Linked DNA regions of Macaca fascicularis. The protein of the gene in region 2 purifies or fractionates together with the protein of the main gene of each other region. This does not show direct contact. Links are inferred from orthologs where the notes say so. Each region holds a gene or a part of one and is shown on either strand. Other genes may lie near its edges.

What was found. Proteins that work in one complex are often made in the same cells at the same time.
Region 1: the proteins of UBXN7 (region 2) and CUL2 purify together in Homo sapiens (affinity purification with mass spectrometry; 6 studies listed by BioGRID and IntAct, with this or other methods). This does not show direct contact. The link is inferred for Macaca fascicularis from reciprocal best matches to the Homo sapiens genes UBXN7 and CUL2.
Region 3: the proteins of UBXN7 (region 2) and NPLOC4 purify together in Homo sapiens (affinity purification with mass spectrometry; 3 studies listed by BioGRID and IntAct, with this or other methods). This does not show direct contact. The link is inferred for Macaca fascicularis from reciprocal best matches to the Homo sapiens genes UBXN7 and NPLOC4.

The regions. Positions count from the first base shown.
Region 1 is NC_088383.1:35,798,791-35,803,449, forward strand, and holds part of CUL2 (cullin-2), read right to left. Parts: intron 2,530-4,659; coding exon 2,422-2,529; intron 1,761-2,421; coding exon 1,701-1,760; intron 884-1,700; coding exon 755-883; intron 651-754; coding exon 564-650; intron 1-563.
Region 2 is NC_088376.1:1,839,199-1,844,578, reverse strand, and holds the start of UBXN7 (UBX domain-containing protein 7), read left to right. Parts: upstream 1-2,302; coding exon 2,303-2,375; intron 2,376-2,451; coding exon of another isoform or gene 2,452-2,500; intron 2,501-3,254; coding exon of another isoform or gene 3,255-3,281; exon of another isoform or gene 3,282-3,328; intron 3,329-4,793; exon of another isoform or gene 4,794-4,937; intron 4,938-5,380. Other genes in the region: uncharacterized protein, read right to left, coding at 1,803-2,338, 2,452-2,500, 3,255-3,281. UniProt on the Homo sapiens protein: Ubiquitin-binding adapter that links a subset of NEDD8-associated cullin ring ligases (CRLs) to the segregase VCP/p97, to regulate turnover of their ubiquitination substrates.
Region 3 is NC_088390.1:88,032,430-88,037,088, forward strand, and holds part of NPLOC4 (nuclear protein localization protein 4 homolog), read right to left. Parts: intron 4,058-4,659; coding exon 4,009-4,057; intron 2,585-4,008; coding exon 2,490-2,584; intron 255-2,489; coding exon 131-254; intron 1-130. UniProt on the Homo sapiens protein: The ternary complex containing UFD1, VCP and NPLOC4 binds ubiquitinated proteins and is necessary for the export of misfolded proteins from the ER to the cytoplasm, where they are degraded by the proteasome.

The DNA.
Region 1 (4,659 bases), on a different chromosome or scaffold from region 2:
GCACATAGCAACTGGGTGCAGTGGTGCACACCTGTTGTCCCAGCTGCTCAGGAGGCTGAGGCGGGAGGATCGTTTGAGCCCAGGAGTTAGAGTCCAGCCTGGGCAACATAGTGAGATCCTATCTCTTAAAAAAAAGAAAAAGGAAAAAAGGAGTGCATATTATATTCAAAATGTCTACTATGCAGGAAAATTTATTGAATAACGCAGGAGAAATAAGAACCTGCTACCACTTATCGGTGTGCAAGCAAGCTGAAATGATGTAAAAATAAATTGAAATGGAATTGCACTCCAAAATTTGTACTTAAAGGAATATTTTAGGTGTATTCATTTAAAGTAGTAATAATCTTTTATCGTTAATACTGATTATCCAGTGAATCTTCATATATAAGCATACATATTTTGTCCTTTTAATATAGTATTTGTATATCCCACTGTGTGAATATAAAAATATACATTTAACCGGATGAATTGTTTCCTGTTACTGCATACAATGCTGCAATGAACATCTTTATACGCTTGTGAGTGAATTTCTAGGACAGTACCAGATTAAAGACTTATATTACCTTTAATTTGTTGATCATGGCTTCTTCAGAGTCCATAGACATGGATAACCCATGAATTAAACGTTTTGCCAGCATTCTTGCGTAGAACTGCATTTAAAAATATTTTAAAAGATCACTTCCTTTCTAATGATTTAGCATTCAGAAATAAAGTTGACCAAAACACAAATGAAACTTTTTTGTTCACAGCATACCTTTTGAAAGACATCCTTGTCATCAATGTATTTGAACACCGTGATGAAGCTCGTGAGCCTGTCTTCCACTTCATTCTCTGTCATCCCTTTCGCCGACTTCTTCAGTAAGTTGTCACAGTACTTAGCAAGCTCATGTAGAAATTGATAATAAATCTTACAAAGGGTGCTTCTGTATATATCATGCCTCAAAGGAGGCAAAGTGGTGATACAAGATAAGATCAGTGGACAGAGTTTTTACTGTTTTTTTAAGAGACTGGGTCTTGCTCTGTCGCCCAGGCTGGATTGCAATGGACAACATCATAGCTCACTGCAGCCTCAAACTCCTAGGCTCAAAGGATCCTCCTGCCTCAGCCTCCCAAGTAGTTGGGACTACAGGCATGCACAACCACACCAGGCTTCTAAAGCTTTATGTAATAATCATAAGTGTAACCTAAATAAAATACACATCATAAGGTATATTTTTTAAAAGAACAAGTCAAATATCGAATTATCACTTATTGACCAATAAAGCAACTGATATGGGTAATATAAATTTTTAAAAGAACACCTGGGTGAGTTTCGAGCGGTTTTATAATTTTTGACATTGAATAAGTACTTTAAAAAAAGTTACAAAAACCTTGTAAGCAAGTTTCCTTCAAAGGTTACCCAAACTTTATCATCAGACTTCCTTTAGATTTCAGATATAACAATCTACATGAAAAGTATTAAAATTATTTCAAAATAGACATACATTAAAACCCAAACTTTGTAAAATGATTATTTTTTAAGAAAAGACACACGGTATGTTGCATTCCTTACATAAATGCCAAACTATGTACAATGTAGATAATTTTCCTTTTGTTTTTCTGAAAAATGCTACAAAAACCAAATTAATTTGATTTTCTCAGTTTTCATGTTCTAATACTGACTTTTCATAAGATTACTTTTCAGCAAACACCAAACTTACCAGTTCAGGTGCTTTGCAAACAGACTTAGGTTCTCTGTAATTTACAACCGACGTAAGGGCCTACATAAAAAACAGGCCATAATTAACCACCAGCCATAGGGAAAAAGTACAGCTAGTTCAATACAAGCCATAATCCATACATCCAAAATTACCCTGCCACATACAACACAGCATTGCCAGTAGTTTGTTAATATTTTCGCACCTAACACAGTGGACTCCTCTGATTTTATTCTCTAATTACAAAATATCTATACATCCTGTTGCTATTGCAAGATACTCTGTAACTCATTACCAAAATTTGAACAGATAAAATAACACTACTTAAAAAAAAAAAACTTACAATCTTGTAAGTAACTTTCCTTTAAAGTATACAAAAGTTCACGTAAAACATATCTATTCTCTTTTCAAATATTATTCAATGTAGCCTAAGTATTATGGCCAAAGAAAAAAATCAGTACTAAAAATTGTAAAATTATGCATGTCTATCCAGAAGATATCAGATTAAAAATTCCCCTTATATAGCATAATCATGGGAAATTCTACAAGCATTCAATTTACTATTCAGTTAATAATTTAAAAGTTATATTATTTCCATTTTGAATTTCATATTTAATCTCCATGTCTAGGTCAGAAATCTCATACTAGGAGTCTAATCCTGAAACTACCTAAAGAATGACAGAGCTTTATGTACATATATAGTATATACGTATTTAAAACTTACCTTATCCAACGCACTCATGAAGTGCTGATCACCATTCAAAACAGTATTGATAAGCTGAACAAATTTACCATGCACTTCCAAAACTGACTCCACAAATAGTGTTGGCATCTAAAAACATGAAATATAAGTACAAAACCACATTTTAAAAGGTTCAAGTATAAACTACTAGGTTTATTAGACTTGAGTAAATTTTTCCTCAAGGAAATTATGTTTTACACATGCACACTTCTCAGAAAGTGGTTTTAACAATTTAAAACTTTGGTGTTGAAAATAGCTTGTCGGCCGGGCGCGGTGGCTCAACCCTGTAATTCCAGCACTTTGGGAGGCCGAGACGGGTGGATCACGAGGTCAGGAGATCGAGACCATCCTGGCTAACACGGTGAAACCCCGTCTCTACTAAAAAAAAATACAAAAAAACTAGCCGGGCGAAGTGGCGGGCACCTGTAGTCCCAGTTACTCGGGAGGCTGAGGCAGGAGAATGGCGTAAACCCGGGAGGCGGAGCTTGCAGTGAGCTGAGATCCGGCCACTGCACTCCAACCTGGGCAATACAGGGAGACTCCGTCTCAAAAAAAAAAAAAAAAAAAAAAAAGAAAGAAAATAGCTTGTCAGCCGGGCATGGTGGCTCACGCCTATAATCCCAGCACTTTGGGAGGCCGAGGCAGGGGGATTGCCTGAGGTCAGGAGTTCGAGACTAGTGTGGCCAACATGGTGAAACCCTGTCTCTACTAAAAATACAAAAAAATTAGCCAGGCGTGGTGGCATGCGCCTGTAATCCCAGCTACTCGGGAAGCTGAGGCAGGGGAATTACTTGAACCAGGGAGGTGGAGGTTGCAGTGAGCAGAGATCGCACCACTGCATTCCAGCTTGGGCGACAGAGCAAGACTCCGTCTCAGAAAAAACAAACAAACAAAAAAACAACAAAAAAGAAAGAAAATAGCTTGTCATTCAACACAACAAGCTAATGTCATAGACTGTCTAGTACCTGCCAGAAGAACCCACCAAAAGCATACTTTTCTACTGTGTTGGAATAACTTCAGGATAACAAGACCTGAACTACCAGGTCTATCACTTTCATAGAGGCTTATATAAGCAAAGACTGCCTGCAAAGTCACTGAAGGCTGAGAGAGAGGAGAGTTAAAAAGCCAGTAACCCTGAGAACAGAGACCCCTTGAACTCAGCAAGACAATCCCTCACATCTCAGAGAGAAGAAATACCTAATAGTGCAAAAGTGAGTTTTCCCTCTTAATGGAGATAACCATGAAGAAATTACTACCTAAGACTTAACTAAGTCAGCTGGATTTGAGTCTACTACAAATGTATTCACTTATGTTTCCATCTCCCAGCCTTGACACAAAATTCTATGCTTCTATGCCCCATGTCATTGGACATGGAATCTATAAACGTAATAACATAAACTAGTAAGTTTGACAAATAATACAGAGTAATAAATCTGCATAATACAAACTAATAGTTCTACAAAAATAGAAAACTGTGGTAAAAGGAATTTGAAGAAATTAAAAAATAGTAAACTTACACGATTGTGGCAGAACATAAAAACTAAAAATTATTACTTGCCAAAGACCAATCTGTCGCTAAGGTAACAGCCTCTAAAAAGTGCTCCTGAACAGTGACGGCTACACACATACACACAGATACTATCTTTTTTTTTTTTTTTTTGAGACGGAGTCTTGTGCTGTCACCCAGGCTGGAGTGCAGTGGTGTGATCTTGGCTCACTGTAAGCTCCGCCTCCCGGGTTCACGCCATTCTCCCGCCTCAGCCGCCTGAGTAGCTGGGACTACAGGCACCCGCCAACATGCCCGGCTAATTTTTTGTATTTTTAGTAGAGATGGGGTTTCACGGTGTTAGCCAGGATGGTCTCCATCTCCTGACCTCGTGATCCGCCCGCCTCGGCCTCCCAAAGTGCTGGGATTACAGGCGTGACAGATACTACCTTACAGATTAAGTCAAACAGCTCTACTTAAGAAGAGACAGTAACAGTTGAAGTTACGTCTCTCTTGCTCATCATCAACCGTCACCAGTAATAACAAGATTTGGTGATAGGAAAGACAAACTGTTACAGTCATGTGATTGGTAAAGTACTCAAGGAAGATGAGTATTAGGGACACGAGGGTTATTGTTTCCGGTATTTGGGGCAGCAAGCATATACTTACAGAAGATTATTTGAATCTAAATTTGCTTACTAGACAACCAAATTCACAGAATATGGAAAGGAGGA
Region 2 (5,380 bases):
TTCTGAAATTCATGACTGGTCCAGGTCCTTCCTCGGCCCATCTAGAGAATGGCAGCAACCTGGAAGGCAGTGCCAGGACCAATCTGTCATTGAACTTAAAATACTTTTTTTTTTTTTGAGATGGAGTCTTGCTCTGTCACCCAGGCTGGAGTGCAGTGGCATGATCTAGGCTCACTGCAACCTCCACTTCCCGGGTTCAAGTGATTCTCCTGACTCAGCCTCCCAAGTAGCTGGGATTACAGGTGCCTGCGCCACCACAGCGGCTAATTTTTGTAATTTCAGTAGAGATGGGGTTTCGCCATGTTGGCCAGGCTGGTCTCGAACTCCTGACTTCAGGTGATCCGCCCGCCTCGGCTTCCCAAAGTGCTGGGATTACTGGAGTCTGCTTTCTTTTACAGTAATCATATCTTCCTGAAACTATAGCCCGGCCGGGCGTGATGGTTCATGCCTGTAATCCCAACACTTTGGGAGGCTGAGGCAGGCGGATCACTTGAGGTCAGCAGTTTGAGACTAGCCTGGTCAACATCGTCTCTACTAAAAATAGAAAAATTAGTCTGGCGTGGTGGTTCGTGCCTGTAATCCCAGTTACTTGGGAGGCTGAGGCAGGAGAATCGCTTGAACTGGGGAGACGGAGGTTGCAGTGAGCTGAGATCGCGCCACTGCACTCCAGCCTGGGCAACAGAGCGAGACTCCCTGTCAAACAAAACAAAACAAAACAAAAAACTATACCCCTTGATTTAACATGGCTATTTAAATTCTCCCCAATAGCATATTTACTCTTAAGATGTGTCAATTCTTCAGATAGCTCATCCCATCTTTTATTGGGCCATTTTCCTCTGAAGATGCAAAATATGTGGGTGGAGGCTGGAAGGTAGGAGGCTAAAACAAACAGAATCGCACGGAATCTCCTTTTTTTTTTTGAGACGGAGTCTTGCTCAGTCGCCCAGGCTGGAGTGCAGTGGTGCAATCTCGGCTCACTGCAAGCTCCACCTCCCGGGTTGACGTCATTCTCCTGCCTCAGCCTCCCCAGCAGCTGGGACTACAGGTGCCCGCCACCTCGCCCGGCTAATTTTTTTGTATTTTTAGTAGAGACGGGGTTTCACCGTGTTAGCCAGGATGGTCTCGATCTCCTGACCTCATGATCCGCCCACCTCGGCCTCCCAAAGTGCTGGGATTACAGGTGTGAGCCACCGCGCCGGGCTGCACGGAATCTCTTTTAACTTTATGGGCAAGGTGGGGAATCATTAGATTTGAGCGCACCCCACTCATGTAACTGTTTTACAAAATAAAATTATTCAAGTAACACACGAATTTTTTTTTTTTGAGATGGATTCTTGATATATTTCCCAGTCTGGTCTCGAACTCCTTGCCTCAAGCGATTCTCCCACCTCGGCCTTCCAAAGTGCTGGGATTACAGTTATGAGCCACCGCGCCCGGCCAGTAATGTTTGTTTAAAAATAAAAAGATAAATAAGAAACTCGAAGTAAAGTCTGCTTTGACCATCGTGCCCATCGTTCTCCTCTCTGAAGGTAACCATTACCAGCGTTTTGAGCACACTTTTCCAGTCTCCTTTCTATATGTCTTCTCAACTCTATTGCATATACAGAGTTTCTTTTTATACACATGACACCTCTTGGGGTCTCACTAAGACGCTAACGGGAGACGTGATGGCCGATTTATTTAAGGAAAGCAGACTAAATAATCGCTGATGAAAACCCACTGGGTGTCAACCCTGCGCTAGGTGCTTTCTTTGGCATGAAGGGTTCTGGAATTTCACTCGCCACAGTCGGTGAGCTGAGCCATTAGTCTAGAGGCTGGGGGGCGGGGTCGGGGAGAGTCGCTTCAAAGCGAGGAGGCAGGGTTTGTATTTTGATGGGACCTAACAGAGCGCGGAGCAACTGCGAAGCAGAAAAAAATACCGTTACCAGAGTTGGCCCTGTCAATAAAGCTCGCGAAGCTGAAATGCGAAATATCTGCCAAGACGGAAGCTTCCTTCGGAATGTAGGAATCGACACTGCGCCTGCGAGACTAGCCTTGGAGCCCGGAGAGGAAAGCACCAGCAGTGGCAAAAACGATGCACCGGGCAGGCAGCAACCGAGCAGCCAACCGGAGAGCGGGTAGAGCTCCGGCCCGGTAGGCAAGTGCGCCTGCGCAGACCACTGGAGGGGGCCGGGAGGGGCGGGGCTTGGGGGCGGGGCTTGAGGGGCGGTCAATGCGCCTGCGCACACCGCGCGGCGAGGTGGGGGAGGGCGGTCCGTGTGTGTCTGTGTTGTTGTTCGGCGGCGGCGGCGGCGGCGGTAAGATGGCTGCCCACGGGGGCTCCGCGGCGTCCTCGGCGCTGAAGGGGTTAATTCAACAGTTCACCGCCATCACCGGTAAGAGACGCGGTTACCGGAAGGTGGAGGGGGGGGTCCGGAGCGGGCGGCGGGTCTGCCCCGGGCTTCCCCTCACCTTCAGGCATTCCTCCTTCGGGCTTTACCCACAGCTCCCGTCCTCCCTCCTGAGGAAGAGGCGACGACGGCGTCGGGGTCTCCGGGTTCAGGCGGGAGACAGCCCCCGCGCTCCCGAGACCCTCGTTCTCTGTCTCCTAGTAGTGTGGAGGGAGATCCCCCAGCCCCCCGCCAGCCCAGACCTGGGAATGGGCCGAGTCCGCCGCCCCCGCCGGCCCGGGGACCCGGGGGCGGGAGGAGTGGGGGGCCGCACCCGGGCCACCGCCCTCCTCCTCCTCCTTCATCATCTCCCTTCTCGGTGCAGCCCTGCGGGGCGGTGCGTCTCCTCACCTCCGTTTTCCTTTCTTCCCCGGCCAGGTCATCCTGCCCCGGTCCCCGGCCTGCCCTTCCCCTTTCCGGGCCCCTCGGAGCCATCGCCGTGGCCCTGGCGGGTTCGGGCCCTCCCGCCTTCACGGCGAGGCCGGTGGGTTCGGCCGTGCCCGTACACTTCCCGGGGGATAGGCCGCCAGAAGGGGGGGGCCGAGGAGGACCCGGGGACTGCGGCTTAGAGGGAAGAATGAGGGGGACCCCGAAGCTGAATCGGGGAGGCCTGGAGGAATCCTGGGTGGCGTTTCCCACCTCCCCATAATAAAATCATAAAGACGGAGACGATGGCGCCGGGGCCTCCTGCTGATAAGATAGGGATGGCGGCAGAAACTTCTTTGAGAGAAAATCTGTTTCTGGGTGTCAGTATCCCCGAAACCCTAGGCCTAGGTTGTTCTCTCCCTTTGGACCCCTGCGAAGGGCACACGCAGATCCTCTTACCGCCTGGAGGAAAGGCCCTAAAGCCATTCTCTGAATTCTGTCTTGTTTCTCTCTGATGGTGCTGAACTTTTCTTGCATGAGTTATTAGAGGGCGGAGCAAATGATGAAGTGCTCTGTGGAGGGATTTGAGGGAAGAGTACTCCAGTGTGCCTGAGTGTAATTTTGCCGTTCTAGTTTGTCATTTTGGAAGGAGGTCAGAATGTTAGTTCCCTTTCTCAACGGATCTGTACTTTATCTCGGAATGTGTTAGATGCGGAGAATGTTTCCATGTTAATGTTCCTAGAGTTTAACGTGGAGTATCTGGTTAAGTAAAATTTTATATTGTTTTAACTACTACAGGCTGTATACTAGTTAAAGTTTTATATTAAAGCTAGCTTTATTTTTTTGCTTTGCAGTGATAACGAGATATTTGACGCATTGTTATCTAGCTTGTGGGCATGGAACATCAGGTCAAAGTTAGTAAAGTAAAATTTGTAATGAAATTGGGGTGAGGAGTTACATGATAACTTCTCTTAATATTTTTAAACTTTGTGATTGGATTATTGAAGATATAAAGGATTGAATTATTAAATATATAAAGGATTTCGTAATGTCTAACAAATCATTGCTGTGGAGAAGATTATTGTGTATATAAGTTAGTGTTGATGCGTTATGCTTATATAGAAAAATTTTCGCAGTGAATCTGATAGAGAAGTGAATATCACTATTAATCCTTTCTTTAGATTTCCTAGAGATAGTTTATGATGCCACTTGGGCCTGGCGCGGTGTCTCACACCTGTAATCCCGGCAGTTTGGGAGACGGAGGCTGGAGATTCACGTGAGGCAAGGAGTTAGAAACCATCCTGGGCAAAACATAGTGAGGCCCCATCTATACAGAAAAAAAAAGTGAGCTGGATGTAGTGGCACCGACATGTAGTCCCAGCTACTGGGGAGGCTGAGGTGGGAGGATTGCTTGAGCCTAGGAGTTAAAGGCTGCAGTGAGTTGATCATGCCACTGCACTCCATCCCTGGCAGGAGAGCAAGACCATTTCTCAAAAAACAAAAAGAAGGAAAAAAAGCCACATTATTATTATTATTTTGAGACAGAGTCTCGCTCTGTTGCCCAGGCTGGAGTGCAGTGGTACGATCTCGGCTCACTGCAACCTCTACCTCCCGGGTTCAAGCGATTCTCCTGTCTCAGCCTCCCTAGTAGCTGGGACTACAGGCGCCTGCCACGAGGCCCGGCTAATTTTTGTATTTTTAGTAAAGACGGGGTTTCATCATGTTGGCCTGGCCGGTCTTGAACTCCTGTCCTCAAATGATCCACTCACCTCAGCCTCCCAAAGTGCTAGGATTACAGGCGTAAGCCACCGTGCCTGGCCCTAAAAGCCACTTAATTAATTTTCAGTTTCTTATGCTAATTACTAGTCTTCCCAAACTCTGATTGGTTTAACGCCACTTTACTACTTCTGTTGCAACATTTTTATTAGGTGCACAAAAAAACCAAAGTGTGATGAGGTGAATTGACTCACTTAATTGCTTTAATTCTGTTTCTGTTAGTCTACACAGCTTGATTTCTGGATCAAGTTGGAGGCCCTCCATCAGTAGACAATGATGTCTGAAAATCTACAGAGGGAATATACCTCAGAGTGTTCCTGAAATACTGTGAATTTCTATTGATAATTTTTGGGATTCTTCTTACAAGTTAGTGATTAACCATTAGAAACACATGATTGGTTTCTTTTTGCCTTTTTTACATGCCTTAAAAAGAATTTTTTTGGAGTTCTCTCCACATATGTTTAAATCATAGTGTTTATGATTAAAAGGTATTTTACATTTATTAATTGCTGGATGAATTATAGTGACCTTAATCACTTATGCTCTGATTTCACAGAGGTTTTACTTGGAAGCTCAACATTCTTGTAAAAACAAATGCATCATCAAAAATGTGAGTCCTTATTCCTTAGGCAGGAGGGAAAAAAAGAAAAAGAAAAAAATTAAAATAAATGTGAGTCTTATCTTTTCTTTGGCATTTAGAAATAGAACGGAAAATTGAAAGATTTTAGAAAAGTCTTATTTCTTACTGAATAGAACAGATCTCTCTCTGATTCAGTGAGTATGACATAATGACTGAGTTTTGATTTTTT
Region 3 (4,659 bases), on a different chromosome or scaffold from region 2:
ATTCAATCCATCAGACAGTACTGAAAACCCGCCGCGGAGGTGCTAATGGCATTCCACTCCAAGCGGCTCTTCTGGAAATACTCGTTTCTCAGCCATGAAGACAAATCTAGACAGACAGGGAACAGCTCACCTGTCTGTTCAGCGTGATGGCGCTCGGCTGGCACTTAGTACAGATGCCGTTCGGCCACGGGAGGTGCCCCTCGCACCCTGACTTAATCTTGCAGCTGATGTTCTCCAGGGCAACAAATTTCCCCCTACGTAGAAGAGAAGCAACTTACTTAAACATCACATTGGTGAAAAGTTGAGCAAGAGGCTGGAAGCTACATGTTAAGTATCTTACACTTCCTGAACAGCATCTCAGGAGCTAAGCACGTGGCAGCAGCAGGGAAGATGTGCTAAGGATGTTTCTAATGGAAGCTCTACTTGCAGTTCCAGCACATTCCGAATCCTAGCTTGTCCCATATACTGCAACCACACAGAAACACACAACTACTTTCCTACCAAACTGTGGTGTTTTTTTACTATCTATCACTAACATGCAAGAAAGTTTGCAAGAATATTGCAGAATATCTATTGACGTCACCTGTGCCACTGAGCGGACATGAGGCTGGTACAGGTTTCATTACATTATCAGCAACGTTGACATTAGCCCAGTACTTAAGATATTTGTAAAAAATTATTATTCATGTGAAAAATCTGATTAGGATATATAATTAAGGCAACTTCACTGCTTTAGGCTAAAATAAAAACTACTGTTGAAGATTGTCAATGAGAAAGTCCTGGACCCTACTCTGAACTTCTTCTTTTTCTCCAGCTTTATTGAAACATAATTGACAAAAAAAAAAAAAAAAAATTTTATCTTTAAGGTGGACGTGAGGTTTTGTTTTTCAGATAAAAACTATATACTTACAGTGTAAGAAATGATATTCTGAAACATGTCCACACTGTGGAATGGCTAAATTAAGCTAATTAACATATGCATTACCTCACATACTGATCATTTTTTGTGGTGAGCCATTTTTGGTATCATAGCATCTAGGAAGAAATGACTCGTCACCAAATCTGCATGTTAATGGCAGCCACAAACATGCCCCCACTAGGGACTGTGATCCTTGACCTAGACTGACAAAAGGCTGACCAAGTCTCTTTCACTACAATCAATCTGCACCCACTCCTTAGTCCAGAGAGTTCCATAGCTTTTCCCACTGACAAGCAATAGTGGGTTTCTAGTAGGTTTCTTCTTCTGGTCTAACATTTTTAAAAAGTCATTTTAGGATGTCAGCGGGTTGTCAGAGAAAAGCTACAATCAGGCGAATATGACATCCTTCACAAAATGTTGCTGACTTCAGTTCAGCCACCATCTCCTCTTGTCGCACTGACAGGAATTACAAAATAATAGCTGAAGCCTGTTACTTTCTGGTAGGGTGTACAGAGAGCCAACAGGAGAAAGTCGTACAGGCAAGGACTTGCCACGGCTTAAAAGAAATCAAAATGCTCAGTTCACCCCTCTCTGGCCACTGTTACCACCTGTGCCTACCTGGCTGAGCCTATGGGCAACTACTGTGGTGCCCTGAGGACAAGTGGCTGCAGCCCCTGCTGTGGCTGAAAACCAAGCTGACTCAGAGGCCGGGCTCTAGGGAAAGGATTGCCAGGCACTGAAGTGGGGGAGCTGAGATTATCACAGGGTAGTTGTTTTTCTGAAAAGCAGAGAATGAACTCAGATCACAGATACAAGAGGCCACCATCACAGATGCTATCTTGCCGGGGCGGTGTGTGTGGGGACAGCCTCTGTCCGACACTGCACTGTGGCTACACAACCAGATGCCTGCACAGTCACTGCCTTGCTAGCTCCCTTCTAGAACCAGGTTGGCCAGGTGAGGGGGCTCACACCTGTAATCCAGCACTTTGGGGAAACCAAGGCAGGAGGATCACTTGAGCCAAGGAGTTCCAGACCAGCCTGGGCAACATAGCGAGACCCCATCTCTTAAAAACATGTATGTGGGCCGGGCACGGTGGCTCACGTATGTAATCCCAGCACTGTGGGAGGTCGAGGCGGGCGGATTACGAGGTCAGGAGATCTAGACCATCCTGGCTAACACAGTGAAACCCCGCCTCTACTAAAAATACAAAAAATTAGAGAGGCATGGTGGTAGGCACCTGTAGTCCCAGCTACTCGGGAGGCTAAGGCAGGAGAATGGTGTGAACCCAGGAGGCGGAGCTTGCAGTGAGCCAAGATTGCGCCACTGCACTCCAGCCTGGGCGACAGAGCCAGACTCCGTCTCAAAAAAAAACAAAAAACAAAAAACAAAAAACAAAACATATATGTGTACATAAAATATAAATAAATATAGAACCAGGGTAACATTCAAAGGCGTGTGGCCCCTTCTCATCTTTACTTCTCTCATTCACACGTTCAGTGGCTATAAGCAACAACTGCCAGATACACAAAAAGGAATTTACGCACAACCAGGTCATAGCAAGCTGCTTACTTGTCAGCCCCTCCAGTCAGCTTCCGGATGTAGGCATGGAAGGACATGTGCTTCACAGGAGGCTCGAGATGGTTTAGATAGTCCTCATCGAATGGCTGCCAAGACACAGAGTAAGCAAGTGCAGTCACACCTGCTGGGTGCTCCAGGCGCTGAGCCTCCGTTGTGCACAGAGGCCAGGCAGCATGGCCTCGGCAAGTCAAGGCCCACAGCCAAAGCAGGTACTGGGGTCTCCCTTACCACTCTAGGTCAGAACCAAGTTTTTCTTTTTTAAATTAATTGATTTTCGTTATTGTTGTTTTTGTGTGTTTTGTTTGTTTATTTGAGACAGAGTCTCACTCTGTCGCCCAGGCTGGAGTACAATGGCACAGCGGCACAATCTCTGCTCACTGCAACCTCCACCTCTGAGTTCAAGCGATTCTTCTGACTCTGCCTCCCAAGTAGCTGGGACTATAGGCACGCGCCACCACGCCTGGCTAATTTTTGTATTTTTAGTAGAGACGGGGTTTCAGCATATTGGCCAGGCTGGTCTCAAACTCCTGACCTCGTGATCCAACCGCCCCGCCCCCCAAAGTGCTAGGATTACAGCGTGAGCCACTGAGTCCGGCCAATTTAATTGTTTTAGAGATGGGGTCTCACGCTGTTGCCCAGGCTGGAGTACAGTGGTACAATCACGGCTCACTGCAACCTTGACCTCCCAGCCTCAAGTGATTCTCTTGCCTCAGCTTCCCGAGTAGCTGGGACTACAGGCGTGAACCATCACACCCAGCTAATTTTTAAAATTTTTTGTAGAGACAGGGTATACAAAAAAAGAGTTGCCCAGGCTCAACAACTCCTAGGTTCAAGTGATCCTCTCACCCTGGCCTCCCAAAGTGTTGGGACTACAGGTGTGAACAGCACATAGCCAGAAGCAAGTTTATGGGTGGGCCATAACTTTGTGGGCCAGTTATCTTTTCAAGATTAAAATGAATCTCTATTAAAAACAAAACATTCTAAGTCAAATGAGTTTCAGGAAAATTTTGCAAAAAGAAATGCCACAAGATGAGGCAAGAGATGCCTCATGAAGAAAACCAGGTTGGCCTTCCTGCTGTAAATCCAGCATTAACAGCTCCAGTCAGCATCATTACGGTGACTCTCAATCTCACCAGGACAAACCAGTACAAGAGATGTGAGATTCAAGGCAAAGTAAATCGAAACAACGATAAGCACGGAAGCCGACAGACTCAGCTTTGTGTCAGATCTGAAAAGGATTGTCCAGGGAGTCTGCTGTAAATGCTGCCCCTTTATCACAGCCACACAAATGCTTCAGCCATTCATAATCAAGCGAGAAGGTCACTCCCATAAATAAAGGCTCGTCTTGTGTGCAGCTTGCACTAGGGGGAATATGAGGCCCAGGGCAATAAATAGATAAGTTCTTTGAACCACTACAACCAAGTGCATGGACTCAGGGAAAGCACTTAAGACAGCTGTCTACCCGCAGCCCCCCACACCGGCCCAGAACTTACTCCGCAGAGACTCTCACCTCTAGAGGGACGCAGTGCACGCATTTCCCCAACGGGCCGTGGCGGCATCTGAGGAGAGTAACAAGGCAGAAAAAGGCAGAGCAGTGAGGATGTCTGTGTTCCACTGCTGCCATCTCACACGTACGTCCTACTTTAACAGTGTTTCCGTGCCCACATGGAGTTATATTCCAGATGGCACATGGATGAACGTTTATATTTTAATTGTTGTTTTGTTTTGTTTAAAGACAGGCTCTCACTCTATCACCCAGGCTGGAGTGCAGTGGTGATCATGACTCACTGCAGCCTTGAATTCCTGGGCTCAAGCACTCCCACCTCAGCCTCCCGAGTATCTGGGACTCCAGGTGTGTAGCACCACACCCAGCAGTTTACTATTTATGTTGATATGAATGAGAAAAAACAGACCTGCACATCAAACCTGTGACTTCATGAGGATCAACTGCTTAAAATAACAAAAACCAAAGATAAAAGTGAACGAACTCAAAGTCAATTTAAGTAGTTTTTTGGCCAAAGGTGGTGGCTCATATCTCTAATCCCAACACTTTGGGAGGCTGAGATGGGTGGATCACCTGAGGTCAGGAGTTAAAGACAAGCCTGGCCAACACGGTGAAACCCCGTCTCTACTGAAAATACAAAAATTAGCTGGGCATGGT